2 linked regions of the Diceros bicornis minor genome follow. The protein of the gene in region 2 binds, or shares a complex with, the protein of the main gene of each other region. Links are inferred from orthologs where the notes say so. Each region holds a gene or a part of one and is shown on either strand. Other genes may lie near its edges. The genes, in order: ASPH and F10.

Region 1 (15,465 bases), on a different chromosome or scaffold from region 2:
GTCCTCACCCTTTATTCTAGTTCCTTCCTCCACTCAGATTTTCGGATGCCGTATATTGTCCTCCCGTCAAAACTAGCTCTCAAGAGAAAGATCTTGATAATAAAAGATAAAGCCCTGATTATATTGTCATAGCTATATTGCAAACTGCCCAAATCTGAAAAATTGCAGGGAAAGAACCCAAAAGCATGTGTTACCTTATTAGCAAATGTCCAAATATAGGGTGTGGATCCAAGGAGAGGAAGCACCAGCTTCAAAAGGAAGGAGGACACAATGAGGGCATTCTCTGGTTACCAGGCAGCCAGCAAAGTTCCCCTAAGTGTTACAGGAAGCACCACTCCCCATTCTTCCAAAGCTTCCAGATCACCCCGGAGGGGAGGATGCAGAGAGGCAGGTGGAGAAGAGAGAGGCCTTGGACACCAAGATTCCTAACCACAGCGGGGAAGAAGGGGCTCCGCGGGCTGCAGAGGTGGAGCTGGCTCTCTATACTCCTGTGGCTCTGCTCCCTGTTACCTTAGAAGAAAGAGATGGATGGTGGCAGCCCAAAGACACACAGACAAAGGCATGGACCTCTGGAAACCTTCTTTACAGTTTTTCTAACTATATTGGGGCTCTCTGAGTGGGATGAGTGGGAGATAAGGAAGTAAGCAAATGGTGGGGAAGGGGTCGGACGCCGTGTGGGAAGCCATCCATCAGTTACTGTCACAGGACTGATTACATGCAATGTGGGGGAGATGCCACTTCTCTCTCCTGGTTACTGCTCCAGCTTTTGGCCATCCAGAAAACAACTGAAGAGTGTTCAGAGCAGCCAAGAATTGTGGCCTTCGGGAATTGTAATTCTTTTAGAGCAGGAAATCTTTTCGAGAATGTATCACAAAGGGTTGTTCTATTAGCCACCAATCACCCAAGGGCCAGCCTACTAGGCATAAGGCCCTGTGGTAAGTGTTGAGACAGGGAACGGGAGGGGTAACATGAAGTTCTTTCCCCAACTATCTTAAAATCTGATTACAACCTGCTGTTGGCAGCAACTGCAACACTCCTCCATCCACTCCTGCCAAAATAACTGAGAAGAGGGACACCCGGCCTGGAGGGAGGGCTTCTGAGGTGATGGTTGTGCTTGCCTTGGGGTCAGCAGTGGGCTCCAGAGAGATGGATTCGGCCAGTCATGCTCCTCCTGCAAGCCTTGTACCATTGTCTCTTGGGAAGATCTCCCCATCCCCCACTCCCAAAAGTTAATGTTTTTTGGCAAGTCTCTCTGGCAGGGTGCCTTAGTTATTTGCAGAGTTGTTATCTGTAGGATCAGAGCCAGGGGCAGGCCAAGTTTTTGCCAGTCATGCTGAATTTGCCATCCTTCCACCTTCACAACGTGCATTTTTCCTGGGAGTCCTAAGTGTGGGGCTAGGATGAAGGAGGGCTTTCTGTTGATTGGTGGGATTCTTCCCAACAACTCAGGACTTCTCTCTTGCTTTCTAAACCTCAGCCATGGAAAGCATTTTAGCTCTGAGTCCACAGTGTCCCCCAGGCTGAAAATATCTAGGCTTGCATTGTTGACAGGCTAGGGAGTAAGGGTTGGGGGGTAAGGGAACAGCAGGCAACCACACTCTGAATGCTCCCCTTTCCCTTTGTGCCCAACATGTGTACCAGAGTGAACCAAGGTCGCCACCATGAGCAGCTTCAAAGGTGGAAAGTAATTAGAGAAGAGCAGAAGGCGAAGGGGCAGAGGATCTCACACATCCTTCCTTGATGCTTTGAGGCAAAGGATGAGTGAGGGGCACATCACAGTGCCTGGTGCACTGTGGTCACCCCTCCTCTATAACTGCCTGTGTTATAGGTCATACTGCATACACAAGTAGGAATCACACTTGAGCGAGCATAATTCAGTGAGTGTTGTTGCTTATGAGATCTGCTCCTTCTGAGAACCTGAATTTGAGTCTAATGAGTCTGGTTATAGTATATCTTTAATACTTGAAGTGATCCTTTTATTTATTTATTTATTTATTTTGTGAGGAAGATTAGCCCTGAGCTGACATCCATTGCCAATCCTCCACTTTTTGCTGAGGAAGATTGGCCCTGGGCTAACATCCGTGCCCATCTTCCTCCACTTTATATGCGGGACGCCTGCCATAGCATGGCTTGACAAGCGGAGCACAGGTCCACGCCCGGGATCCAAACCTGTGAACCCTGGGCCACTGAGGCAGAGTGTGTGAACCCAACCACTATGCCACCCAGCTGGCTCCTTGAAGTGATCCTTTTAATTTGAGACTTGACTCTCTTTTTTTAAGGATTCACTGAAAATCTGAAATGACAATATACAATAACCTATGTGGATTTACCAAATTCTTAATGTACAGGCACACAGGTCCAACCAACTATAAATAATACTGAGCACAATTCTGGTGTTACAGCTAACCTCTCCTAACTTGGAAATAGAAAGAAAAAAAGACGCAGGCAAACCCAGCTAATAGGACAATGGGATATTTTTTCCATCCTAGTTCTATGTCATTCACAGATTCTCCTCTCTGTCTCATGCTGGTCTGACTTGGAAGTCACATCACTATTTTGAGGCTCTCATTCTGATTGTAGAGATCTGTCAGTTTATTTGTTTACAACTAGTCAGATTTCACGTTTTGTAGGCATTAGTTAAATGTAGTTCTCTGCCTCAGGCTACCTGAGTGATGACTTCACAGATTCATACAATGGGTCCCTCTCTTCCTCTGCTTGCTTTCTAATTTCTCACTTGAGCTATTCATGGCTGCCCACAGTTGTGTGATGGGATAAATCCTAAATGGGCTATCCTTACCTATTTTTAGGAACATAATTAAAATTTTAGGTTGTGTGCTACTTGAAAAAATCTCTCTTATGTCAAAAAGTCATTGATTTTATATATTTTTGGCATTACTATCAAATATAAGCCCTTACCTTACAAATATAAGCAGCTTCCCGGTGGCTTAATGGCTAACCATTTAATACCTGTGCAGAGAGTGCTCCTCAAGAAATTTCAGCTCATGAGGTACTGTAGGGCTTGGGGCTAAACTGAGAGGGTAACAAGAGTCTTGTGACCCTCTGGACTGTCTGGCAAAAGCATTCCCCAGGCAGAGGAACGGCAAGCACAAAGAGCCTGAGCTGAAACGTTTATGTAACAGCTTCTCTGCCCGATCTCACCGAGGATATGTAGATGAGGAAGTCGGCAGGCCTCACCCTGCTCTGTAGCCTGCAGGTAGTTTCCTAAATATTGTTTGTGACTTAGTTTATTTTCATATAAGCCTAAGCACGCTATCAAGCTGTTCACATTTGATTTCAATTTTCTCAAATTCGGGAAAGAGAATTTTTTTTAAAAAAACAATCCCTTGGGATACGTCTAAACAGTTAAAACTTGTGCACTTAGGTTTTTACACAATGGCTTCTCCAAGGATACCTTTTGGAAGCTGCATTCCTCAACTCTTCTTTTGTGTTGGAGACAGAAACACTAAGTGCAATATGGATGCCATAAAAAGTAGAGAAAATAGAACCATATAATTTGTGAGACAGCTGCTTGGAAATGATTTCCACTAAGTTTTACTAAATTAACATGCTTTCTGGTGCTGGGAGGAGCAGCTTCAGTGAACATCTAGGGTACTGGTCTCTGTCTCTAAGTCAAAGGGATCTGCCAACAGAGAAACGAATTCCTCAAGTGATGGAGTCAGCATGGTAGCAGTTTCATGAAGAATCACAAAATATTCAGGACTGTTAGTTAATAGCCACAATATAATGCTAAAGAATTTATTAAAGTAATGAATATTGTACTTCTTAAGTAAAGAAATACAGTAGATTTCAAATAGATTAGTAGTGGTCTTTAGATTAATAAAATCTTGTTGCAATGATACAAAGAGACCCTCCCTATTTTTCTTACTAGTGAGTTCTTTGGCAAAGTCCATTAGGATTTATTTTTTTGTATGGGCTCAGCAATGTTTATCATGTGCTTATGAAATTGCAGATTCATATCAGAAAGATGACGGTATAAAAAGGGCTGAGTTAATACTGATTTTATGTAAGGTATGCATGATTTCCCATAAACATTCAAGGATTTAAGTTGACTAATTGATTCAGTTTTGCATATTGAATAACACTATACGTTGGATGTAATGAAATTGGAGGATCCTAGAAACTAGTTGCAGGATACTTTTCTTTGGATCAGGGAACTGTTTCCATCTAAGGAGCATGGTTCTCATGAAAGACATAGAAATAATTACTTTAGTTATAGATACACACACTCATTAGATCCTTGAGGCAAATATAGCTTAAGTAAAATTATCTTGCAAACAAATTGAATCCTTGAGATTTCACCACATTTTTCTCTTTTCTTGATTTCTCCATTACTTTCTTAAGACTCCTAAATCACATTAACATTTCCTTTTATATACCACAGAATTGTCATTGTCTATAATCAGTTGTTATTCTCTGATTATTTGACTTTCTTTTCATGTTTAAGCTTCTTTGTGGGATTAAGTTTGAGATTTAAGAAGAATCAATTCTATCAATTCCCTATACTAGGAAACAAGACTAGTAATAGTCATTACTTAAATGCTATTTATTAGGAAGGGAATTTGGCACTATGAAGTATCAATCCTGATAGAAAAATGCAAAGAATTGAAAAGAAGAAATAAATTATAGGTTTCTTAGCTAATATGTTTTCAGATTATTTTTCCATATTACAACACAGTATTTCTAATTCTAATCTATTTTTGACTAGATTTAAAATTACTTCTGCTGATATAAATTCATTCTATATATTTATAATGTAGATACCTGCCAGGCTTATTTGTTCTTTGGTAATATAAAGTCAAGCTGTTTGATGAAAATGACAGTTCATTTACTTGTTGAGATATAACTCATATGGGAATAATTGCTTTGAGAACACTTTGAGTACAGAATGCCTTAAAAGTCCTCTTGTACTTACCAATAAAACCTTCATTGCAACGAATTCTACTAATGTAAAATGAAAACATACAATTGAATCATGACCAGTTGAAATTCATTTTTTCCACTATGGCAGAATTTACCACGGTAAGTAAAGATGAGGAAATACTCATTTTTAGTTTGCAATAATAAAACTTCACATTAAGAGGACTGCATACAGATGAGAGCCACTTTCTAGGAAGCACATTAAAATGCAACTTTAAAACAGTGTTCTCATAGGTATAAGTCAGTCCAGAAATATCTAATTTGGAAAGCATTTGACTGGAGGCTGTGAAGGGTCAACACGAGAAAAAAACTCACAAAAACTAGGACAAATCTTGTCCTCAAGTTCTCACTTGCAAGTCCCAGTGAAGCCAATGGAAAGTTTATGGAAATATCTGAAAGGCACATTTGGCCTAGTTCAAAAGCTCTATTAAATTAGTACTTTAATACGTTGTCCTAGTTAAGTCTTGTCTTTATGGCCCTTTTAACATTGCTTCACCCAGAGTTCATTCATAGCTTACTCAGAAATCACAGAAACGAGGATAGGCTAACAAGCGATAGTTGACCTTCTATTCAGTTTCAAAGATACTTTGACTCCCTAACCTCCCCCACTTCAATGCTGAGAAAAAGACCTATGTGAAGAAATTGATGGATCCAAGGCAAGCTTTGTGGTTTTTAATGCTCATACAGTGGGAAGCACAAACAGATGTAAAATGTATAATACCAATACTTAGCTTGGGGGAATTCAGTCCCCGAAACTAAACTGTATATACAACCGACAGTATCCGATGTTATACATTTTATCTTATAATACTGAGTCTATAAATGTTATTGCAGGCGTTTCCTTGTGGTACAAGGAGGAAGTCAGGTAACCTTTAACTTCCTGTGATCTGTATTTACAAAGCCTCTATTTTGGCCTGGTACTGTCTAAGATTACAGCAGTGTACCTTGTCAATGGTACCAGATTTGGTTTCTGGAAGTGCAGGAGCAAAGCATCACTTCAACATTTTGGAGTCAGTCATCAATGAACCTTGATTTCCTCAAAGAGGTGGACTTTTCTAAGCACCCAGCAACAGATTTCAGATAGATACCTTTGCAGGTAGGACCAAGGAGGCTTCAGGGAAACATCTGCTAAGAGAAGTGGGAGCCAGGTGAGACATTGTCTGCTCAAAACTAATCCTTGTCCTGGAAGGAAAATTTGGACCATAGACTCTGGAGCCAGATGGACTAAGTTAATATCCCTGCTCTATCACTTACTAGCTCTGTGACCTCTTTGTTTAACCTCTCCGGGCCTCAGTTACCTGACAATTACAGGGTTTTGTGAGAATAAGAACTCAAATATCTTGACCATTGTTTTTCTCAGCTTAACTCTCATTTTATTTTATATTAAGTACTATCACTGGATTTGTCTCTCAGCCCAGCTCCCCCTCTCCCCCCTCATTGAAATAATGTAATGGGCCTGGGTGGACCAAAGGATGTGTGGAGGCAGAAGGAGATGCCATAAGGTAAAAACAAAGGGCTGCTTCAGTAAAAACTCTGTGAACTGCCCTGCCCCTGCTCCACCTTGGTAACTATTTAACACTACTTCATAAAAAGGAAAGACAGGCCTTCTCCTCATTATGCAACACAACCCTAGGTGGGCTTCTGTGTGTCACTCGGCAGTTTCCAGCGGGATCCAGCCATTCGCAGCAGAAGAGGCTGGTGGGCCTGGGGACCTGTCAATGAGTGGTGGCAGAAGAGGAGTAAAACCAGATGCCACACTGCAACCACGCTCTCTGGTTCCTGAGCCTCCTTGAGACAGTCCCAGGAGGTGCTCCAAAACATGCTCAAGAATTAGGAGAAAGTCTTAAGGATTTGTCAGAAATGTACCAAACCACCACACTTCCTGCTTGTTTGTTACACACCAGGTATTGTGCCGGCAATTGGTGACACAAAGATGACAATGACATCTGTGACTTCAAGTCCCTGTCTGGTTTACCCATAAGCCCAGATATTTTTAAGACAATATGAGGAATTCAGAGGTAGCTCAGGCCCATGCACTGTGTGACTGCAGAAGAGGGGACCCATGGTTGGGGATATCAACGAAAGATGACTGTTAGGCGTTAGCCCAGCGCAGGGAGATTTCAGATAGAGGGTGCCATCCAAGACAAAAAAATGAACTTTTTGTTTCACATTTACATTTGCATCTGTTTAACTAAGATTCTCTGAAAATATTAATTCAACAAACAAAATGAAGTTCTGCTTTAAAACCGAACCTATCCAACACGTATGGCTTAAGCACTGAACTACCCCTAATATCACCATTTCAGAATGTCTTAATATTAATACTGGCAAGAACCACCTCTCTTTCTCAAGAAGCTGGGTTGCATTGCTTGGGGTCTGTATGCACATGGAAGTGGAAGCTAAACACAAGTCCCAGTGAAAGGCCAAGAGGCGGCACGCTCCGCCCGGACACCGCACACGTGCCCGCCGGCCCCGCCTCCGCACCCCGCCCCGTCCCGATCGTGCGGGGTCCGCCAATGCTCGCGAGAGCCACCTCGGCTTCCACGTTTGCCACGTTCCAAAGGATCAGGACAGACTGGAAAGACGAAAGCTGCCCGCGCTCACAGGCCACTGCGTCGCGCCAGCACAGCCTTAAGTCTGCAGGGGGCGGGGAAGCGCGGCAGGGTTTCGCCCCCTCATAGCCGCCTTTGTGATTGGCTACACTTCCCGTCACTCAAGCTTCCGGGCAGGGAGGAGGCGGGGCTCAGCCGGGAAGGGGCGTGGCCGAGGGCTGGCAAGCCGCGCGCTCTCGCCGCGGGAGGGAGTCACAGGTTCGGCGCACGCACGGCCGGGCGCGCGCAGCCGGCACGCGGGTGAAAGTCCTCGGAGGCGCGGCCGGCGGTGCCGAGCCACAGCGGCAGCTGCAGGAGCCGCGGCCCGCACCCGCTGCAGCGCTCGCCCGCCGTCAGCGGCCCCCGCGCCCCCGGTGTCCCCCGCGCACTGAGGGGGCCCCCCACCCCTCGCCTGCTCCGGCGGTGCGCGCAATGGCCCCACGCAAGAATGCGAAGGGCGGCGGCGGCAACAGCAGCAGCAGCGGCTCCGGCAGCCCGAGCGCCGGCACCAGCGGCGGCAGCAGCAGCCCCGGGGCACGGAGAGGTCAGAGGCGCTCCGCGGCGGGGGTCGGGGGCGGCCGTAGGGGTGGGGCCCGGGCGGCGGGGGCCGTGGCTCCGTCTCTGCAGCTCCCGCGGCGCGTCTCTTCCATCCTCCGCGTCGCGCCTGCTTTTGGCGCGGGGCGGAGGCCGTGCTCGGTGGGCCTGGCGGGCGGGCTGGAGCGGCTCCGCGGGCTCGGGGGGTCGCGCCGGGGAGCCCCTTCCCGCTGATCCCTCACCTGCAGGGCGCAGCCTAGATGGAAGTTATGGATAGACTCCGTCTTGGCTTTCCGTGGACTTGAAGATGAGAGTAGGAGAAACAATTTACCTTTGCCTTGCATAATTTGGGGAGTTTGGCAATGAGCCAAAGTCGAAGTAAATAAGTTCTTGCCAAACCGGCAGCCTTTAAGAGCAACTCGAAGTGTGATATTCTCAGGGGGGTGTGGGGGTGTGTAGGGGTGTGTGCGGGGAGTGATTTGAATGTTCTTGGAAATGATTTTAAGTATTTTTGCATTTATGTAGCTTTCTTAAAGGGCATTGTTGTTACCTTTAAAATATTACAGAATACTTTAGAATACTGGGCCAGCTTCTCTGTTGTTTTTCCCATTGTCTTTTTTTAAAAAAGTCTTTTGGATGTTCACCTTTCTCCTCCATGTGCTTACCCAGCAAAGACAGAGAACAGATGTTTTAAATCTGTTTCATCTCATATTTCAGTGGTTCTCTGTTTCTTTTATATTTCCTTTGACTCATAGTTAGGATATTGAAACTAACTGCAGGACACATGTGTATTGAATGTGAGCTGTAGACTTTCCTTGTTGAAATGATTTAGACTCTTTTTGTGTCCTGTGGTCTACATGTAATGTATTCATATATATCAAGAAGATAAATCAGATAACTATAGTCATACTTCACAGGACTTATTTTTTTTTTACAGCCTTTCTCACTACCTGAAATTATTTATTTTCGTTTGCAGTGTCTTCCTGTCTTACTCCCTCCTCTTGTTCATTCCTATCCCCAACTCCTAGAATGGTCCTGGCCTTTAATAGGTGCTCAATATATATTTGAATAAATTTATGTGGTGAAAGTAGTGCAAAGTCACCACACAAATTTACATTCTAAGAACTAACATTTGTATGGTAAATGGAAAAAGATACACACAGTTTGAAATTCAAAGCAAGCATATTAATTCACCTTCGACAATAAGTAAAAGTTTATGTTCTTTTGTCCCTTGTCCTTAAATGCCAGTCCGTTACTTAAACAGGCTGAAGAGTAGATGAGCTGTCACAGGCGGCTCCAGCTACACTTCTTAAAATTTAGAGATGAGAAGAGCCCATTGTGCCAGTTAAGTTCCAAGCAGAGAAAGCGGATGAACAAGACTTTAATGTTAATTGCTTTTTACAGTTTTCTGCACTCTTTACAAATGAAGCACATCTTTGTTCCATTTTATCCTTTGGGCTCATGAGTAGAGAGGACTGATTGCATCTGAGGAAGTCGCTTTGTATGGCCTGTTATTGGTAAAAATTAGTATTGGGAAATACGTATTGTGTTCCCACCCCTACTGGATCAATAAGTGAACCAGTTTTAACAGGCAAGTAATAAATTCAGGAAATGTTATGACCTAAATGAACATATTCTGACTTTCACATTCAGGCATTTTAGAGCAAGCTCTGTCCATATTTGAAGATCTACAGCCTTTTAAGCATTTTATACATTGATTCCATAATTATCATGAAACAGACATAGTATCTAAAGAGAAAAGTATCTCTTTTACAAAAAAAAAACACATTTAAAGAATATTGGAGTCTCGCATGTTACATAATGAGTAATCTTTTTCCATAGCCATTTTTTTCAGTAAATATTGACCTCTGGTTGTGTGCCAGGTAGAAGGCACAGGAGATGGAAACAAGGATTCTTTCAGTCATAAACAGTTATACCGCAGAGTGAAAGTGTGATTCTATTTATATTGTTTTCTTATAGCAGGATATACCTGAAAGATAAAACCAACTTCTCTGTTGTTGCAGTGGCACTGAAGTATAGACATTGATGCCCAAACCATTCCCATCTGCTGGGGAAATCATAGAAACTGAAGAAATTTTAGCAATGGCATTACTGTGAGGCCCCTTCAGTTCCCTCCTCTCATCTTATAGATGAGGGAATTATTGCCCAGAAAGGTTGTCTAGTTCATTAAAGGTTGTGTAGTTCTTGGAAACCCAACTAGTTAGTGGAAGATCCAAGACTAGAACCCATGTTTTCTGTAATTCATTCATTATACTACTACTTGGATTTTAGGTTCTCTAATTTGTAAGATTTTAATGGAATCTTGCAGTTAAAGTAGATTGTCTCTTAAGTTTCCTTCTGGATCTCTCTGTGGCATGCTACAACTAGTTAATTAGGAAAAGTGTGCTTTCGTCATATAACCAATTAAATTTTCCATCATCCTTGATGATGACATTGGTCACATTAAACATTATTATTTCTTAAATTTTTGTATAAAAGTATGGGGGAAAATGGACGCTATTCTTTGAAGCATGCATTTTAGAGAAACGGTGATTATCTGGCCTTCTGTTTGTCTTGGTGGTCACATTGTGTTGAAAAGTGATGTTTGGAAACTGGAATTTTGGGGATTTATATAACATTTGGAATTTTAAGTCTGTCTGCTTTTCTTTTAACTCTTCAACTAAAACTGAAAAATGATAAAATGTCTAGTTTCCTACAGAGCTCAATTTTACCTTTGTCAGTTTTATTCTTCATAACATAAAAGAAACAGAAGTAAATTGGACATCTTACTTGTAACTTGCATGTAAAAATTTGACTTGCATGGCCAATTGGGGTCAGAGGAAACCTCTTTCAGATTTATTGATTTGAAAATCTTTGGTTAAGAAGGATTACGATGTCCTTTTGGGCTTATTTTGTAGTACACAGACACTGGTATGTGTCATGTTTTTGTTTGCTTCGCTTTTCCCTTTTGAGTATCATTCATTCTTTCCCTGTAGCTTCTAGCATGCTACAGTGGTGTAAACATCTGACTCTTTATTTTGTCTAGTAGTGTCGTGCTACTACGTTCCTCTTTACCGGTAGGTGTCACTGTAGAACACTTTCTTCCTTCTATTTGAAGCTTCAGACTGTGTAACATCAATTGTTTTATTTTGTTTAATCAGTCCTGTACATACTCAAAACTATAGTGGGCGACCGCTTAAACACTCTTATCCACTGCTGTTTAATTCTCTCAAAGTCTCTCACAGCAGATTTTGAAATTTAGTAGTAAGAGTTTGTCCCTACCAGCCTATTTTTTTAGGCTTAATTTAGAATTAAATTTAGAATTAAATGCATTCGTATACTATTTGTAAAACTTAACATGTTCACAAATTCATTTGATGGATATTAATCATTTAGAATTTTTTTTTCTCTTTCTACTTTTCAGTATCTTTTAGACCACTCAGTAACTAATGGATACAGTACACTGCTGATTACATTCTGGATCCCTTGAATGAAGAGGGCTTGGTGAGATTTTCTTTCTTTAGCCAGAGGCTATCAGTTAGGGCCAGTTGCTTAATCCTCCATTAGTCAACGTAGGATGAAAAGATAGGAAGGCTATCATTCTTCCACTATAAGAACTGTGTGATATTTTGTGTTCAGTTGAACAGCATTTTGTCAGCCTGGCTATATCATATAAAACCAACTCCTAAAAAATGTTCTGAGAGTATTCTTGAACACATTTTAAAAAGACCAAGCGTATTAACCCGTGTTGGGCTTAGGAAATAAAAGAAAAGATCTATATTTTAGTCTGTCTTTAACATTATATGTCTCCAAGGATTATTAGAAAATGAGAGGTTTTCATTTTCAGCTAATTACCAGCAGAGTAACTCAGAGTAATAGAGATAAAGGCTCTTGTGGGTTCTCCTCCCTATTTTCAGTTAGTCTCAGAAATTGAACCTCTGAGCTCTCTGGTCCCAATAGAATAAACCTTTTTTCCTCCAGAAAGGTAGTGTAGTTTGGGAGAGTCTGATGACCTGGATTCATATCCATTCAAGAACCTTGTGGCAAGCCATTCAAAATCTCTAATCCTAGTCTCTTCAAATGGGAAAAAGTGTTCTCTCCTTTTCTTTCAGAGTTGTGATAGCTCTAAAACCAATTTTGAATCCCTTCGTGTTTCTCAGAGGCTTTCACTAAATTACTTCTGATGGTAAGGGTGAGTACCAGACTTCGGAGGATGTAAGGTATAGAGCTAAGCAGGCCATTGCATGCTTGAAACTTTTTGATGATACATTGTAAAAAAAGAATCATTTTTTGTTATATTCTGTGGCATCTATGTTTTAAGTAAAATGGATGTTCTAGAGGTGGTGTTTATACTGTGGCTTTGAGAACCATTTGACAGGTCTTTCTGCCTCTGGTGGTGTACATACCCCGTTGACACATCAACCTTCAAGTTGCTGATTTACCCTTGAGGTCTGGTAACATTGTTCTATTTTACCAGAGCTCAGATACATTTTAGTCTTTTGATGCTGTTCCAGCATACTGTTTTAATATGAAAATATGCAACTTAGTTTTGTCTTAGATACTTCTGCAACTCCTGAGTGGTTTGACTTCATTCTGTACCAAGATAAAAAATATTTTTTTTGAATTAACTTCCCTTAAATAAAATCTGTATGTACTTAGAACCCATCTACAGCTTACCCAAATCTCTGGAGAAAGCCTCAGCCACCTGCCGGGATATGTGGGGTTGCTGTGGCTCACTCCTAAGTTTCAGTATCTGCTGCCCAGCATCTGCTCAGCGCCACACACATGGGTGTACGTCTATCTGGGTGGACACGTGTCTGGTTCGGTCCTACAGTTTTGGCCATTTCTATTAGAGGACTCGAGATTAGGATGTTCATTTCCTCCTCCTCTTCTTCCAAAGTGCCACTGTAGGGGGATATTCTGGAGTCCAGTGCTTTCACCTTTTCACTTTCTTCTGGCAGTGCTGGGAGCCAAGATGGTATTTTCTTGTTAGTCATTATTAATTTTTTTCAAATTTTCCTTACTTTATTTCCTGCAATGAAGGTGCTTCATGCGTTTGGTCTGCATTTGATATTCGTTTTCAGGGATGTGTCTTGGTTACCTTTGGCTGATATAGTTATCTTTTAATGGCAGATCACTGAATGTAATTTAGTTCTGATCAGATTGATGACACCTGAGGACAGATTTACTTTAGATAACCTATTAAACTCAAAGGAAATTTGAGCTCACTTGGTGAATAAATCTTTTAAAAAATAGTCACATAAGATCTTTTGAAGGATCTGTATTGTTCTGTGACCCCCTGTGAGATCCAGGTGGCTTACCTGGTTGTTCTGACTGTAGTAGGACTGTCATCATCTGCCATAGATGCCCTTTGTGCTCTAATGTGGATAGGGTAGTGAGTTAAATGGGGCCGGGGTGGTGGGGGAGGGGTATCCACAGCGAGCAGAGTGGAACCACTATTGCTGTACTTGGAGAAATGCCAGCGCTTCTCTCCCACGTGTGTGCCTGCAGATGTAACCCAGTGACTCGTTCTGAATGGATGCCAGCGAGCATCCTTGTTAATTTTAAAGTGAGAGAATGTTGTTTGATAAAATAATTTTATTCCATAACTAATATTGTATAACTGCCTCTTCTCATATTTTATATGTTTGGCAGCCTTTTCTACCATAGTGCAGACTCACTGCTGTTCTGTTGTTCTGTCTCTAACTTCTGTTTCTTGTTTATTATATCACTGATATACACAATTACCTCCCCTTCCCATCTTTCACACTCTTTTTAATCTGAGTTTTCCTGAAATGGTATATTGGAAATCCTTTTTGGTCTTAGGTTCACATGTAAATTTTATTTAGGAGCTGTTAATTTTTTTTCTTGCATGAAAATAAAAATCTGTGTTGCAAATGTTTGTTGAAAGAATATCTAGCTCTTAACTTGACTTTTCCATTCTTGAATGAATCAAATCATTTTGAATAAGATGCTTGTCACTTACTGAGTTTTATAAATGAATCAAATCATTTTGAATAAGATGCTTGTCACTTACTGAGTTTTATAAATTATGTCATGCTTTTTGACATGTGAACCATCTCTCTAATTTCTAGAACACAATATGTGCTGCTCTGTTTGAAATATTACGTACTTAAGACTATAAATATATAGTGAATGCAGTGAATGCCCGTGTATCTACTGTACAGGTGAGGAAATAAAATGTTACCAGATTCTCGGTTTCTCCTTTCCTGTGTTATCCCTTCCCAGCCACTCGTACATATTTTGTGATAATCATTCTCATGCATTTCTTTATAATATATAATATATATACACCCACAAATAATATATAATGTTATGTTGCATATTATATATTACATATCCATTCATGTAAAAATGTATGTAATGTTAAAAGCAACATATATGAAAACTGCTTAGGAAGTATGTGTATATCCCTATATATAGAAATATATATATTCTTGTTTAGCACAGATTACAAGTTTTGTGAATAGGCTCATACTTGGCATAGTAGTTTGACACCATTTGTTTGAGATTCCACCAAACTCTGGCTCTTTATTTTCATTTATATAGTTCCTCACTCGTATGAATGTGCCCCTTTTTGTTTACCCACCTTACTGTCGGAGACCACTTGGTTTGTTTTGTTTTTTTCCTTCAAACACTGCTGCCCTGAACACTCTTGTACCTGTCTGTCCCCTTGTGTACGTGTCTAAGAGTTTTTCTAGAGCTTAATTTAGGATTGGAATTGTTGGGTCAGAACAAATACACATATTAAACTTGACTGGATATTGCCATTTTTTTTAACCCCAAAGTGGTGGTATCAGTTGACACTCCCACCCACAATGAGTGCAGCTCCTCTCGTGCTGCAACCACATTGCCAACACTTGGTAAGGTTTGATATTTGCAAGTTTGGTGGGTGTGAAATAGTACTTTGTGGTTTAAACTTCCGTTTTCCTGATCGCCAGTGAGATTACTAGTAAGAGTTGACCTTTGTGTTGCCTTTTCTATGAATTACTTGTTCATATAGTTTGCCTATTTCTGATTTTTTTTGTTTTGTGTTTTTAGGTTTGATTTGTAGAATTTTTTTCTATATCTTGAACCTTTTGATTATTTGTGTGGTGAAGGAATTCTCCTAGTTTGTGAGTATTCACATGGTCATTTTCTGTGGTATATTTTGTTGAATAAAATTTTAAGATTTTAATATATTAGCAGTAGAATTTTCCTCTTTTCCAATTTATGGTTTGTGCTTTATTTAAGACATCCTTTCTAACACAGAGATCATAAAACATTTTCTATTTTCTTCTGAAATATCTTAAATTTTGCCTTTTCTCATTTAGATGTCTAAACCACTGGACGTAGATTTTATTGTATATATTGTGAGGTAGGGATTTAATTCAATATTTTA
Region 2 (15,694 bases):
GTGCTTTCCAATGTATCAGTGGTTGCTACGTTCTCCTTATCTTAAGGTATCACTGCAAGAAACAGAAGTACTTCCTTGATGTTACTGGAGTTGGTGAGAAACCTGCTGATGCAGTTGATGCCCACGCCACAGTCGATGCTCAGCCAGGATTCTATGGCAGTATATAAGTTTTCATCTATGAACATGGCCTCATCATCATCAGTGGCTTTGGCCTATTCTTTAAAAAGCTGCTTGCTGCTGCATGGGACTATTTCACTCAAATAGTTAACATACTACACACTTCCTTCTTCATGACAAATAGCTCAAAGTGTGCAGTGAGACCCAGAGTGGTCATCTGGCCGAAGGGCTCATCATCTGTGGGTGACCACAGATGAATGTGGGACTGCTGCAAGTCCCTTTCAGGAACTCGCTGGCAAGCTTATCAAGGAGTCTGGCTGTCCTCTGAGGTGGAGGGCCTTCAACTGCTTTTGCCACACAGATATTATGCAGAATTTTTTTAGTGTCTTCTGTTCTGAAGAGGTTGGGTTCCGGCAGACTCACTCCCAGGACTTTCTCAAGCTCTTCTAACATGCTGACTCCAAGGAAGGGGGGAATGAAGTCAATCTCATGGGCCTGGCCTTCAGGGCCTCTGGATGATGGGTGACCTTGCAACTGCCTGTAATACAGTTCGCCATCCTTGGTACAACGTCCATGACTTCAAGAGATCATAATAGGCCACACAAAACTCACAGGTGGTCAATCAAGTCACATCATCATAACTGGCATCCAATTTCCCACACCTGGTCAATGCCACCAACCGCCAGCATCTGATGGCAGAGTTCTGGAGCAGTTCTCCTACAAAGATTCACGTCCAGCTTGTGCTAGGCGACGCTCCCCTTAAGACAGTGTTCATCACGGGGATTTAGAGTCCAGGAACCCCAAGGCACCCAAGAGCTCCGTATCTACATGGGATCTTAACGCAGATGACAAGCTCCTCCTCACAAAGTCACTGAGGCTCGAGTCCAAGTATCTCCCGTGATACTGTGTCTCCTCTTCTTCCAAGTCAAAGCGAGGATGAGGTGGCACGTGTAATCAGGGGACAGCAGCGTGAGGACGCTGCTCAGCGCACCTTCCTGGCTTTTCCAGGGTTCTCCTGAACGCCAATCCCGTCTCCCGGAGGCAGTCTGCCACGGACGTGACTCAGCTCTTCTCCTGACTTAAACTTCCTTGACTTGGCCACCACTCGCAACCCACCACCCGTCCCGAAGGGCACGGAACACGAGCTCGTTGCCGCCCTGGAGGAGCCGTCGGCCGGCGGGCTCCCGCAGCGTGGGCGCGGGTCCCCGTCAGCGGGGCGGCGGCCTGGCCGAGCCCCCGCCTGGCCTCCTTCTTGGCTACTTTCTTCTCCGCTTTCAGCCTCCTCAGCTCGCTCCGCGGGCGCCGGCTCGCCGCGTCCACTCCCGCCCCGCCCCTTCCTCGCGGCCGTCTTTCCCGGATCCGGACCCCAGGTGCACGAGGCCCGCCGGCGACTTCCGGGGCAGCGTCCGAGGCCCCGCCTCTTCCGGGGCGGGCGCTTTCCACGCGCCGCCGCCGCTGCGCAGGCGCCGTGCTGGGCCTCGCCGCCCGGTGTCCATTGTGGCCCTGCGCGCCGCGCGCTCTGAGGGCGGCGCCCCAGTGCCCGCCGTCGAATATGGCGGCGGCCGGGGCTGCGGGCAGAGGCCCGACGGCCCACGTGCTGTGCGCGGCCCGCCCGGGGAGGCGGGGGCCGGGCGTGGACAGTCTTTTTCGCAAACGTTTCATGTTTCAGAATCTACTGAGCAAGGCCCTCGGAAGTTCCCGGGCCGGCCACTGCCGTCGGCCCACGCCCGGAGGGCCCTGCGTGGCCCGGGTCAGCCTCCCGCCCCCATGGGCCGCCTGCGCGGCCCCACCCCGGCCCCTACCGTCCTCTCGGCGTCCTCGAAGACCTCCCGGGCCTCCTCGAAGGTGCAGCTCTCCTCCATGCACTCTCTCTCGAGGTTCCCTCTCTTCAGCTCCTCCAGGAACGAGTTGGCCCTGCGGACGCGGGCCAGGAGGCCGTGCGCGCGCTCCCGGCTCAGGAACACTGCAAGACGGGGCGGCTGGGGGGCGCCCGCCTCCCTCCCGAGTCCCCGCGGGGTGCTGCCCAGGACGCCCGTGCCTGGCGGTTCTCGGTGGGGTGGGCCGCACGCACCTTCTCCGGGGGAGTCAGCCTCCCGCCAGCCGCCCCGCGCCCGACCCACGTCCTGTCTTGAACTGGCCCTTCTCAGAGTGCTTCCGGGTCACTGTCGCCTCCCGGCCGCTGCACCCCCCGCCCCGAGCCCCACCCGCCCCTCGAGGTCTCAGCTCTGAGTTAAGTGGGTGGGGAGTCGTGATACTGTTTTGATCATCTACCATTAAAAGTATGGTTTGTATCAAGTCCCAGGAACATACACATAAAGCAAAAGTTTCAAGAAATAGTACTTACTACTGTTTTCTACAAAATAGTACTTATTACAGAATCTGTACTTGATCCTGTTCTATTTCATTTTTTAAAACCCACTAAATTGGTGCCATGACTCACAAAGGAGTCATGAGCTGCCAATTAAAATGTCTTGGATCCAAGATTCTCTGGACCGTCCCTGTGTGTGGACCTACAGCTGCGTCGTGCCCACCTCTTTGCCTGTCCTCTCTCTCACCCATTCCTTTTCCTCTTTGCGTTGTGATACCGGAGGCCCTGGGATTCTTTTCTTGGCCCTCTGTGCTTATTTCTCTACCTTTTTCCACTGAAGAATTTAGAGTATCCCCATAATAAAGACGACTCTCCAAGTTGATATTTCTAGTCCCAACTTTCACCCTGAGCTCTAGGTTTTCGACTCCCTCATGGTGATGGATGTGTCCCCTGATCTCAGAACGCCAAACTCTCATGTCTGAAACTGAAAAACAGGACTGCAGAATCAAACAGTCCTGAATTTCAAATACACCTTGGTCACCTACTGCTTAATATTGGCAAGTGGGAATGACAATACCTACTTCTTAGAGTTGTTTTAAACAGTGTATACAACTCCTAGTGTTCAGTGTGGTACACACTAGGTGCTCAATAAAGGTTAGCTTCATTCCTACCTCAAATTACTTTCACTTCCAAATTCTCCATTTCTTTTAGTGACATCAATATTATCCTAACAACACCAGGCTCAAACTTGTTATTTGTGGGCCCTCCCCCATTACTCCAAATATCTGCTCCACTACCAAGCGCTTGCTTTGAAATACAGCCCAGAGGTGGATTTCTCCCCTCCATCCTTCCCCACGTGGGTCTCTTCTGTTCTATTTTTCTTTCTCTCTTTTTCACTTTTCACTGCTCTCTTGTCTCCCACACACCTGAGTCCCCCTTGTTTGCTCCTGAGTGCTCCCGTCCTTCCACTTGATCCAGGATGCAAACAAGCCTCAGGGTCTCCTCAGCCCCAGAGGTATTGCCACCTCTGCTCTCTCCTCTGGCTTTGCTCTGCTTCTCCCGTCTGGCTTCTTCTCTTTGGACAGGCCCCGGAGTCCTGGAAGGCCCAGGGGCCCCCCTCTGTCCAGCCACACATTGGGCAGCCCCTTCCCCTGGCCGAGCCAGCCTGAGGGTGGTGGCACCGGCTTCTCTTTCATTCTCTCCCCTGCCATAGAAGCTCCTCTCTGCCTGTGACCCCCTCGCTCCCACCCAGCTCACTTAGAGAGTGGAGGGGGGTATCTCTCTGTCTCTCCTCCCACCTCCCCCTTCTCTCCCTCTTCCTCCATCTCCTTCCCTCTCTGTCTGAGTCTCTCTCTCTCTGTCCTTCTCTATTTCTCTCTCTGTCTGTCTCTCTCTCTCCCTGTCCATGTTCCTCTCTGTCTTTGTGACCTTTGACCCACCATCTGACTCTCCATCCACAGGGAGGCACACTGGCCCTAAGCTACCCTTGGCTGAAACTGCCAAGCCCAGCCGTCTAACGCCAGCCTTCCACAGGGGACAGACACCCACTATCCACATTGTGGAGGTTCGAGGGCATCACCCTGACCCCCTACCCTCCCTTCTCCTCCCTGGGGGCCACCTCTACAGTCTGCAGGGTGAGGGGCGCTTACCGCTTCCTCCCGGCAGCAAGAGGCCAGCCAGGGAGGCACTGAGCAGGACGAGGCACAGTGGGCCCGCCATGGTGTGGCCGAGGACAGTGTCTCTGTCCCTGGGGCAAGGTTCACTTACCCTGGCTCGTGGCCGGTTGTCCTTCTGCTTATCACAGCCTCCTGATTGGAGCCTGGGCCTGCTGGGGGGGTACAGGGGCAGGTGACCGTGCTGAGGACATGGTCACTCTGGCCTGTGCAGTCCTGGAGAGGTCCTGGCTGAACCTCATCCTCATTAGTAACTGTGTCCAGTGGGGCCTGCTTTGGACAGAGGAACTTTTTGGTCTAAGAGAATAACAGTGTCATTTTAGAGTCTTCAGACGTTGGTGTCTAGCTCTCATTTCATCCTTATAACATTGATAAAAGCTGAGAATCATTTCCCCGTATTTTCTCCAGAACAGAAGGCCGAGGTTGAGAGAGAGGTGAAGCATTTCCCAGGCCGTGTGTGGTGCACATGGGGTTTGAACCCGGGACTCGCTGCCCCGGGTCCTGCTTCCCCTTGGCCTGGACCAGTCCTGCTCATGGGCCTCTTTGCAGGTGTATCAGGTGGCACCCTGCAAAGGGCCTCTGTCACAGAGTGTCCTGTGCTTCACCTCCGTGTCAGTCTTGTTCCCCCACCCCAAAATTCAGGGGCTCCGGGAGGCAGAGCATGTCTGAGAGCCTCTGTGCCACACGGCTCCTTGCGCGCAGGCTTCTGGGAGGAGCACCCCCTGCCCGGCGCCTGGAGGGAACTGCTCTGCCGGAACCGCCATGTGATCTGTCGACAGCAGGGCAACTTGGCCCGAAGTCGAGAGGGGCTGTCCCATGAGGAGCAGCTGGACCTGCCTCTCTCTGCCCCACAACAAAGCCACGGAAATGCCCGCAGGTGTCGGGGCCCAGATTCCCCGACAACGGCTTTGCCCATACCCTACTGGGGGCTGGGTGGGGGCGGGGGAAATGAGCCCTGAAATGCCGGAGGTCTCACGGTGAAGTCCGTTGCTCACTTACATGAGACTTGATACAGGTCAGCAGGGAGAGAAGGTGGAGGGCTGCGCGGTGCCCGGGGGCGGGGGGGAACCGAGGTGGCTTCCTGGGCCAGCCCCACCCTGGGCCTGTCCTCAGTCCCTCCTGGAGGGACAGGAAGGATGGAGGACACCTGCTCAGCACTCACCAGCTCCACAGAATTCGGGAGTCTCCCGTGCCAGGCTCTCATCCGGGAAGATCCCAGAACTAGGGGCTGCATCACCTTGTGACAGATGACAGGCGCCAGGGAAGGCGGGTCACCTCAGGTCTGTGCACCGAAAGCAGCTCGCCCCCTCAGTGGGGCGGTTGGGAGGGAGGGAGGTGTGCACACAGCGGGTGCACACCAGGTACCCGGTCACTCGCCCAGCCAGAGCCTCTCCAAGCGTCAGGCGTGGGGACGCGGCCTTGAGCCCTCCGCTGACCGGGGTCTCTGCAGCCGGACTCCAGGCTCTGGAGGAGAAGGCCTGAGAACTGGCTGGCGAGGCCGGGGCTGTGCCGAGAGAGCCAGAGAGAGAGAGGTAGACTGCACTGTATTCCACGGCACCAAGCACCATTCCACGTCATGATGGGTCAGCCGACGCCCGTGGTCCTTTGGATACAAGCCTCTTGTGTCTGGCTTGTTTGCTGCTCTGTCTCCAGCACCCAGAGGGGTGTCTGGCACACAGTAGGTGCTCAGTAATCACCAAAGGACTGAATGAATCGGTGATGTCCCGAAATGATCCTGCTCAGCGCGAGAGGCTAGGGCTGGCCTTTCACTGGGTGGTCACAGTGACATGCAGAGCCCGGTCCTTGGGGACGACCCGCAGTCGGTGCCCTGGGCCCGTCTCACCTGGTCTCTTTGTGCTGCAATACTGTCTCTAGGCACGGTCAGCACATGGGGGAGACGGGGTTCTGTGTGAGCCCCTCCCTGGCCCAGCGCCTGGAGCCACTCACGGAAAATGGAGATGAGCCCTGATGGGATGTGAATATATCTGCTCATCGAGTGTGTTAGCCTTCAGGGGTGGTCCTGACATCCCCGGCACCGAGCTCACTGCAGCTCTGTGACAGCCGGGGAAACTGAGGCAGAGCCCGTGACCCACCCAGGACCTCGTTACCCCATGTGGGTCTGGGGGCTCCTGGACCGGCCCCTTCAGCTCCCTCCTCCCCTCTTCTTCTCAGGAAGAGGAGTCCAGCCAGCTTTCATTTTCTGGAAGAAACAAGAGATTTGGTGGGCTCAGGGCCTCCAGAGACCTGGTGCATTTTGGCTGCAGAATTTCCCCTCAGTTCCTGCAGCCTGAGCGGGGAGCCAGAGGACATCCAGATGGTTGCCAATCGGCTTCACCGTCCGTGACGATGTGATTGAGTCCTCCCAGGAGTCTCATTTTACGGGCACTGATTTCATCCTCATGACAAGCACCAAGGCGGGCTCCCTCGGTGCCCATACATGAGGAGACAAGGCACAGAGAAAGAGGGTGAGCGGCTTGGCCAAGAGCAAGAGGCAGGGCCACTCTTGACCCAGGAGGCCTGGTCTAATGTCGGATCTCCTAAGCGCATGCCCGATGGCGTGGTGACATCCTGACAGACACAGCCTGGCCAGGGAGCAAACCTCGTCTGTAAAGGCCCAGAGTGTGAATACGGTAGGTCTGTGGGTCAGATGGTCTTGTTGGCCAGACAGTCTCTGTCCCAACTACTCAGCACTGCGGTTTTAAGCATGGATGATGTATAAAGGAATGGGAGTGTCCCAATAAAACTTTATTTATGAAAACAGGTGTCTTGGACTCAGCCCCGGCCCCTGGTCTACTCTGAACTAAATTATGGCTGATTGTTCACCAGAGCGAGTCCTGGCTCCCTAACTTACAGGTGTTACACACCGTTGGTGTTCCAGGCACAGGACAGGCCAGTTGCCATCCCCCGGGTGTGTCCTGGGGGAGAGGGGGGCCTGCTGGGTCTGCTCTATCCACCTTCACCAAGTTCAGGCAGGGCCCACTTTTATGTCTGCTTCCCTCCTCTGATCATTTGCTTCCCCACCTGAGGCCTATCGGGCCCCACAATCGCCTGTGGGACTTGATAAAAAGGTGACTCACTGGGTCTCCTCCCCTGGATCCCGCTGCTCTGGGCAGGACCTGGGAGCCTGAATTTTGTGGAGCACCCCTGGTGGTTCTCAGGCCGGTGTTCCCCAGGGCTCTCTTTGAGGACCATCATCGACTAGGGCCTTGCAGGAAAAGAACACCCAGTTCTGTAGGGTTTGGGAACTACAGCCTCCAAAATCCTTCAGAGAGGGGCCCACCCAGTGGCATAGTGGTTAAGTTTGCGCATTCCACTTTGGTGGCCCGGGGTTCACTGGTTCGGATTCTGGGTGAGGACCTACCCACCACTCATCAAGCCATGCTGAGGCAGCGTCCCATATAGAAGAACTAGGAGGACCTACACCTAGGATATACAACTATGTACTGGGGCTTTGGGGGAAAAAAGAACAAGAAGAAGACTGGCAACAGATGTTAGCTCAGGGCCAATCTTCCTCAAAAAAAAAAAAAAACCCACAAAATCCTTCAGAGAGCTCTCAGTTTCAAAAACCAGGCTCCAGGGGCTGGCCTGGTGGCGCAAGTGGTTAAGTGCTCGCGCTCCACTGCAGTGGCCTGGGGTTCGCCAGTTTGGATCCCGGGTGCGCACCGATGCACTGCTTGTTAAGCCGTGCTGTGGCAGCATCCCATGTAAAGTAGAGGAAGATGGGCACAGATGTTAGCCCAGGGCCAGTCTTCCTCAGCAAAAAAGAGGAGGATTGGCATTGGATGTTAGCTCAGGGCTGGTCCTCCTCACAAAAAAAATAAATAAATAAAAACCAGGCTCCATGTAAGAAGGTTCATGTCAGTGTGTCGGTAATCGTGAAAGAAAAGAACAGCTCGATGATAGACATCAGGGTCTCAATGACATGAATTATAGACTATCCGTGAATGGCGAGCAGCGGGAAAGAATGCTCTGAGGAGAGTCAGCTGTTTGTTTGCTGATAGTGGGGAGAAAAGGTGGCAGACGGTACGTAGAGCATGAGCACTTTCCATTTTATGGTAAAAGATCCACATATAAGGGCCGACCTGGTGGCGTAGTGGTTAAGATTGTGCGCTCTGCTTCGGCAGCCTGGGGTTCACAAGTTTAGATCCCTGGTGCAGACCTACACACCGCTCATCAAGCCGTGCTGTGGTGGCGTCCCACATACAAAATAGAGGAAGATGGGCACAGACGTTAGCTCATGGCCAATCTTCCTCACACACACACAAAAAGATCCACATATAGAAAGATCTGGAAGGATATCCACCAAAGTGAATGGATGATGCTTCCAATTTATCTGAAAGGATGATGAAATACTCGTATAAGAGAGAAAAAGATGAAAGTTAACAGACAGCCCTCAGGCAGTAGCACACATCACTGTGAATACACTTGTGCACACCTCTGTCATGTCGGTGACGAGATGCAGCAGAAACGCGCAGGCGTGCGCAGTCACTTCTCTGTGACCCTGGCACCGTCTCCTGTCTCCCTTGCCCACTCTCCTGTGTCTCTCGTCTCAGTCCGTCTCCTGGAGTCTCTGAGTCTCTCTCGCCCCTCAGTTTCTCTCTCTCCTCCATTCTCTCCCCTCTCCTCTCCATCTCTCAGTCTCTCCGAATTCCTCATTCTTCTGCTCTCTTTCTCTGGGGGTCTCTCTCCTTGCCTGTCTCTCTCTGTCTCCTTCTCTCTCTCCCTCCCTCTCCCCTCCCCACCCCAAGAGCTGTAGAAGAATTTACGGGCTCTGACGCCAGGACAACCCCGTGGCAGCAGGTTTATTTCCAGGAGCTGACTGTGAGCCTAGGGGAGTGGGGCCCGGAGGAGGCCTTCAGAGTGCAGCTCCGAGAGCATGAGCCTGTGCAGCCACTCCGTGTACTGGGAGACCCTGGTGTATACCCCAAAGTGGCCTGCGGCTGCACAGCCCTCCCCCCAGCTGACGACACCCGTCAGGTACCGAGTGCCCCGGAACTCGGTGGCATGTGGGCCCCCACTGTCACCCTTGCAGGCGTCCTGTGTCCCATCCAGGTAGCCGGCGCAGAACATGTTCTCCGTCAACTCCGGGGAGCCCGCCGTCCTGCGAGACTGCTCCAGGCAGTCCTGAGTCCTCAGCCTGGGCACGTCAATGGCCATGAGCTCCAGGGCCGTGGCGCCCCTTTCGAGGAGCTGGCCCCAGCCGCTGACGGAAGAGAAGCGAATGGAGGCCAGCGTCCTCTCGGAGAAGGCCTTCTCGGGCAGACAGAGGGGCACCACGTGGTCGGTGAAGGTCACGGGGCTCTGCAGGCGCAGCAAGGCCAGGTCGTGGTCCGTCTTGCGCGGGACGTACTTGTCGGGGACGATGATCTGAACCACTTGCCGCTCCTGCTCGTCGCCGTCCTCCTTGCTGAGGTCGTGCTCACCTGCGGGGAGACCAGCACCACTCACGGCCCTCGCCCTGCAGCCTCAGGAACCGCCCTTCCCGGAGCCTCCTTTAGGGCAGGAGAGGCCCTGCGTCCAGCCCCAAGGTGGCCTGAGCAGCCTCACAAGTGGCCGCCGTTGGGTTCCGTGCAGAGTGTGAGTCAGTGGTGACTCTGGAACCTGGGGCGCTGAAGGCACGTGAGGAGGGGGGGTTGGGCCAGACAGCTGTGGGTGGGTAACGAGCGGGTGCCCGACTCCCCCAGTTCTTCCAGATGGGGCCTGGCCTCCCCCGGGGGTCCTTGTCCCGTAAACCCACCAGGGGGAGGCCAGCCCGCCGTGGCCACGGAGCCCTGTATGGCTGCATCCCCCTTTGGGTGGATGGAGCACCTGGCCTACGCAAGATGGGCAGGTATAGCGTCACCCCCATGTCTTTATTTGGGGTAGGAAAGAGGCTGAGGGACGGGGGCTGTGGTGGGACCCGCAGGCAGTGGAGTCTGCCCAGGCACTGCCCACTTCTCTTTCAGAGAAGCTCGTCTGGTCATGGAAGTCGGAAGTCGGTAGTTCGAGGCCCCGAAGCGTAGCCCCGGGTGGTTCTCTTGGAAGGACCTTCCCTCGTCAGAAGGAGGTGAGCGCAGACCTACCCAGCACTGCTGTCAGGTTCTTCCAGCTCCTGATTCTGTCGAAACAGTGGGCTGCGGAGACCACCCAGGTGGTGTCGAGCAGGGTGCCCCCACACAGCAGCAGCCCGTTCAGCTTCAGCAGAGCCTGACAAGGGCACAACAGGTGTTGGAAGGTCACATCATAGTCACCCTTCCTTGGGGACTCACCTTTCCCATGCACCCTTAGGGGAGGCTGCATTGACAGGATTGTTTCTGAAATCCTGGGGGCTCCCCAGAGCCCTTCCTGGGCAAAGCTGCTCCGACTCCTCCCCAGCAGGCCGTCTCCCCACCTCGCTAAGGGAAGGGAAGCTGCGGGCACGGGCTTGACGATGGAAATGTGGGGGCTCGATTCCTCTGTGCATCTCCTAGTACTGTCACCCAAGTGTGACCTAACATGCCTGACTTGCAAAGGTCAGGCCAAGGTCGTGCTCCTCGAGCATGTGAGGAGTGAATGGAGTAACTGATGAAGCACTGAGCCTGTTCTCGGCACCCAGGTGACCCGCAGTAAATGCTTCCTCTTCTCTTCTTCCTAAAAGCAAAGGGGGTGCTGAGCGGGGCCCCGAGTGAATCCTGGGTGGTGACGTTTTCCCTGCAGTGATTCTCCCAGGGTGGATGGGAAAGGAGCCCAAGTCTCCATCCAGGCCATCTGCGGACAGCGAGGAATTGCAAGGCCAGAGGGCGGCCTGGCTGAGGGGGAGGCGGACCGGCCAGTAAATGGTCCTGGTCTGGTTGTCGCCAGTCAGCATGTGTCGTGCTGAGGTCGGATCAACCAGGGAGGAGACTGGACGTGGGTCAGCCAAGCTGGGGCCCAACGCCCCGAGTTGTGGACAGCAGGACAAAAGGGGTCAGGGAGGTACCCCTCTCCTCATCCAGACTGGCAACTCTGACCCCTCAGAGAAGAAAGCACAGTAAAACCCCACGACGGTGAACAGCCGCCTGCGGATCAGAGCCACAGTCGCTGCCCGGTGCCGGGAAATCTAACCCTGCCTGGCTGACAGTGACTCTGTAGCTGCAGCTTGGAGAGGCGGGCAGTCTGGGGTGGTTGTTACAACCTGGATCTGTGCCTCCCGGGACCGGATCTCAGCTCTGACTGGGCAAGGCACTGAACCTCATGGGGCCTCAGTTTCCTCACCTGAAAAATGGGGCAAGAGTTGCACCCACCTCTCAGGCAGGGTCGTGGGGGTTAAATGATACTGAGAGGTGAGGTCTTGGTGGGCTGGGTCCAGGGAGCACGTGCTGGGAAGCAGTATCTGCTGCAATCACCCCCAGCGAGCCCACCTAAGAACTCCCACCGTAAATGCACAGAAACCCATGTTCGCCAACCCGCCTCTACCTCACAGAGGCCTTGCCGGCCCATTACGGGGACTCTGGTGAACACATCAGCCCCATTTGGATGTGTCTAGCTCAGATTATTCCTCTCAACACCAGCTGGGGTTCTCCCTGGACCATGAAGGCCCCTCCAGGCCCCAGCCGCCTGCCCTGACCACTGTGGGAGGTGGGGTGGGGCAGGGGGAGGCTGGGTGGGTGCAGCACCACCAGCTCAGCAAGAAATGCAGCTTCTGAGACTGGTCTGGAAGGGGCCAGATGGCCGCCAAACAAGAGACTGGAGCTACCCGGAGCCCAGGGTCAGCCCAGCGTGATCGCTGACTCTCCAGTCTCAAGGTTCTTGTACATTTACTTGTATTTCTAAAAATTCTTAACTGTTTAAGTTGGAGTGTCTCCGAATGAGGAGTTAAAGGAGGGCCACTGAGTCGGGCTCAGACCTGAGTTTGCAGCTTGTATCACATGTGGGCACACACCCCCGGGCTCTCCTGAAATGGCGATTCTGACCCTGTGGGTCTGGGGGCCTGAGAATTGGCATTTCCAATAGGAACCTGGCTCACAGCCGGTTTCACAGAGAGACGCCCTGGAAGGGCCATGCCCCCACAGACCTGACCCCGTGAGGGGGACAGCCTCCCCGACCGCAGGAGGATTTTGGCACGGATCAAGAATCTCAGCTCCCAGAGGCAAGTAGTAGATGCAGCTTTGGAGGTGACCGAGCTGGGTTCAAATCCTGCCTCTGCCATTTATTGTGTGTGTGGCCTCAGTTTCCTCATCTGTAAGAGGGGAGTGTGCGTGATGAGGTAGTGAGGGGAGAGGGTGAGCTGGAGCAGCAAAATCCCAGCTAAATGCAGATGTGTTGTGGACAAGCAGAAGTGGACTTAGAATCAGGGGGAAATCCACGCCAGCACGGCATGAGCAGGGTGGCTCCGACCGGGGCGTGCTGTGATTGACCCACCCTTTCCCTTCGAGGGCCCTGAAGCCTTACCTGCCAGGGACACTGCCCTTTGGGGCACACCTTGCCGCCCACAATTCGGCCTTCAGGTTCGCTGTCATTTCTTTTTTCCAGAACAGGTATTTTTCCACACGGATATTCAACTGTATAAAACAACGTCAGCAAGTTGTGGGGAATCATGATGGATGACCGTGCAAGTGAGAAGAGGGCATGAGGCCTGTGGGCAGCTCTGCCTCTGGCCCCAAACCCAGGCTGTGGGAGCTGCCAGTGGGCAGATGTGCCAGCGGCTGGCTTTTCAGGAGCAGAGGGCCCTACTTCTTGAAACTGCTAGTTTTTCCAGGAAAAAAAGATGTGCTTAGGGGCCGGCCCAGTGGCGTAGCAGTTGAGTTTGTGCGCTCCACTTTGGTGGCCCAGGGTTTGCTGGTTCGGATCCTGGGCGCAGACTTACTCACTGCTCATCAAGCCATGCTGTGGCGGCGTCCCATATAGAAGAGCTAGAAGGACGTACAACTAGGATATACAACTATGTACTGGGGCTTTGGGGAGAAAAAAGAAAAAGAGGAAGATTGGCAACAGATGTTAGCTCAGGGCCAATTTCAAAAAAAAAAAAAAAAGATGTGCTGCTTGAATTTACTAAAAGGTGAAGGGTGTTCTGTCTAAAGGACAGCCAGCATCTCAGACCGCCGTGCTGCTTCTTTGGTCCCACCCTTGGTTGCTGGTTTGCTCCAGTGAAGTCTCTGGGCCAGAAGGGAAGGCATCCAGTGGAGGCAGCTGAATTTCAGGCTCCTTAGACTGGGCTGGGCACATCTCTTCTGTGTGAAGAGACAGAGGGCTTGGGGTGCCCCAGCCTTTGGAATTGCAGCCCTGTTAGTTTGAAGTTGCAGCCTGTTAGTTTGAAGTTGGAAAATTTTCCATTTTCCTAAAAGTGCTGGCCTCGACAAAAGATTCATAACCCAGTATTGTGCTGCAGTCAGTGCAGACCCTGGTGTGGCAGTGTGGACTCCCGTCAGAATCTGCGTGCTGGGAGTGGGGCGGGGAAAGCCTCCTTCTGCTCCTCTGGGCCCGCCTAGAATGGGCAGGTGGCCTGAGGCCTGTCCAGGGAGCCGCTCCCAGGGCTCTGTCCTGCCTGCTGTTGCCTGGGCCCGCTCTCAGGGGGGCGGCCACCTCCACTCTCAGTCTCCTCCCTGCCTCACTGAGCATGGAGTGGTCCACACCGGGAGATGCTCAGTGAATAGTATGCCCCCATTCTCATCTTTTAGCCAATAAGAGAACTTGTGTCGGGCAGGAACTGGGGACTGGTCGTCTAAAAATGAAACAGCACACAGACCCTGGAGCCTGGTCCCTGAGGACCCATTACCTGTAGATGCGCAGGACACTCCGTCGGCCTGGAGCTCGTACCCCTCGTGGCACCAGCAGGAGCGCCTGGCCCCTGCGTGATCGGTGCAGTACTGCTCACAGCCCCCATTGTCGTTCATGCAGATCAGCTGGTCGTTCTTGTCTGAGGACAGAAGGGGACAGCCTGAGAGGGCCTCCACTGGTCAGGGAAAGCCAGCCCTGGTGGCCACCCCTCCCTGGGCCGGAGCAGCGTTCTGCACAAAGACGGCGCTCAGCTGCCTGCTACAGAGACTGAGCCTGGCACCACCTCACTCTGCAGATTGATCCAGAAGGGAGGACCTGGAGTTAGGGGGGTCCCAGCCTAGCCAGTGGGGGATGCAGGGCTGGCATGCAGTGTCACCCCTTCTGGGAGCTGGGGAAAGCAGAAGTCCCCTGGGGACAACTTAATGGGACACTTGCCAGCAAGAGGCCAGAGAGATGAGACTGTTTTACAGCCAGGCCCTGGTGTCCCAGTGAGCTGGCCTGGGGCTGACCACTGGTTCGGGCAGGCAGAGACAAGGAACGTTTGACTTAACTCTAAAGGAGAGCGCTTTGATGTGGGAAACGGGATTGGTGTCCTGTGTAAGTCCAGGACCCCCACTGGGAAGGCCAATCCTGGGAGTGAATTCACACCATGACTGCTGACCGTCAAAGGTCCTGGGAGTGAATTCACAGCGGGACTGCTGAGTGTCAATGGCCCTGGGAGTGAATTCACACCAGGACTGCTGAGTGTCAATGGCCCTGGGAGTGAATTCACACCAGGACTGCTGAGTGTCAATGGCCCTGGGAGTGAATTCACACCAGGACTGCTGAGTGTCAAAGGCCCTGGGAGTGAATTCACACCAGGACTGCTGAGTGTCAATGGCCCTGGGAGTGAATTCACACCAGGACTGCTGAGTGTCAATGGCCCTGGGAGTGAATTCACACCAGGACTGCTGAGTGTCAATGGCCCTGGGAGTGAATTCACACCAGGACTGCTGAGTGTCAATGGCCCTGGGAGTGAATTCACAGCGGGACTGCTGAGCACTGAAGGCCAGGCAAAGACATTGAGGCGTTCCAGGCCCAGAACTGTCAGGAAGCCTCTTTCCTTAGTTTTTGCTTCACTCTTCTGGCCTCTGTTCTGCTGAGAGCAGAAGGCAGCTGTGGCCCAGGAAAGCTCCTTCTGTATCACATGTGCACTTGTGTGGTAAAGGGTTAACCTTGCCCAAAGAGAGGCCTGGCCTTTGCCCTCAGGTCCTGGGACGTGAGCTGTACACCCTCTCTGATTAAGTTGGACACTTTTAATTTAATCTGCCTGATAAGAGTGTTGTTTTCCTGGGGCCTTGGGCCACACTGAATGGTCTAACAATGTGACTCATGTGTGTCCTTGGGCCACGGTATCAGCTTGCCCTTGGAGGGGCTGGAGACTGAGGTCAGCCACGTGCATGGTCAGCCATGTCTACCTCTGGACACCGAGGTTCAGGTGTGCTTCCTGGGTTGGTAATACTCTGTTGACATATCTCTGTCACTTGTCGCCTAAGACAGTGGTCTTTCAGAGAATGAAGGACTGTCCCCATGACTCCCCTGGCTGAGGACAACTGGAAGCTCGCATCTGGTGCCTTTGCTGAGTTAGTCTCCTTTCTTCTGCTGTGATCAACTGTAACTGGGGTATATCAGCTTTCAGTGAGTTCTGTGAGCCCTTCCAACAGATTACTGAACCTGAACGTGGTCTGGGGGACCCCTGACCTTTGCAATACTTTAGTATTTGGAAGGTGAGAAAAATATTGCATACCTTTGTAATAGCAAGTAGGGAAGGTAAAGTCTAGCCAACCGTCTTGGCTGGTGGGATATGAGGCAGCTGGGCAGTGGTGGAGGGCCTCTCACCTGG

Evidence for each region.
Region 1: the proteins of F10 (region 2) and ASPH are in contact, whole or in part, in a crystal structure (PDB 6Q9F), measured with the Homo sapiens proteins. The link is inferred for Diceros bicornis minor from reciprocal best matches to the Homo sapiens genes F10 and ASPH. Residues at the interface, in NP_000495.1 of Homo sapiens: Asn97, Gln98, Lys100, Cys101, Lys102, Asp103, Gly104, Leu105, Gly106, Glu107, Tyr108, Thr109, Cys110, Thr111, Leu113, Glu114, Gly115, Phe116; in NP_004309.2 of Homo sapiens: Ala389, Glu390, Arg393, Ser394, Asn395, Leu398, Gln431, Phe432, Leu433, Gly434, Met436, Arg437, Val462, Leu465, Leu466, Ile467, Gly468, His493, Phe496, Ala500, Arg526, Phe529, His530, Arg562, Ser563, Leu564, Tyr565, Asp616, Glu617, Leu619.

What each region holds. Positions count from the first base shown.
Region 1 is NC_080772.1:14,717,202-14,732,666, reverse strand, and holds the start of ASPH (aspartyl/asparaginyl beta-hydroxylase), read left to right. Parts: upstream 1-7,749; 5' UTR 7,750-7,961; coding exon 7,962-8,073; intron 8,074-15,465.
Region 2 is NC_080748.1:86,879,083-86,894,776, reverse strand, and holds the start of F10 (coagulation factor X), read right to left. Parts: upstream 7,291-15,694; coding exon 7,176-7,290; intron 5,603-7,175; coding exon 5,444-5,602; intron 5,336-5,443; coding exon 5,261-5,335; intron 4,254-5,260; coding exon 4,193-4,253; intron 2,257-4,192; coding exon 1,920-2,256; intron 1,887-1,919; exon of another isoform or gene 1,881-1,886; intron 1,790-1,880; exon of another isoform or gene 1-1,789. Other genes in the region: F7 (coagulation factor VII), read right to left, coding at 8,926-9,521, 10,161-10,284, 12,487-12,596, 13,811-13,951. UniProt on the Homo sapiens protein: Factor Xa is a vitamin K-dependent glycoprotein that converts prothrombin to thrombin in the presence of factor Va, calcium and phospholipid during blood clotting.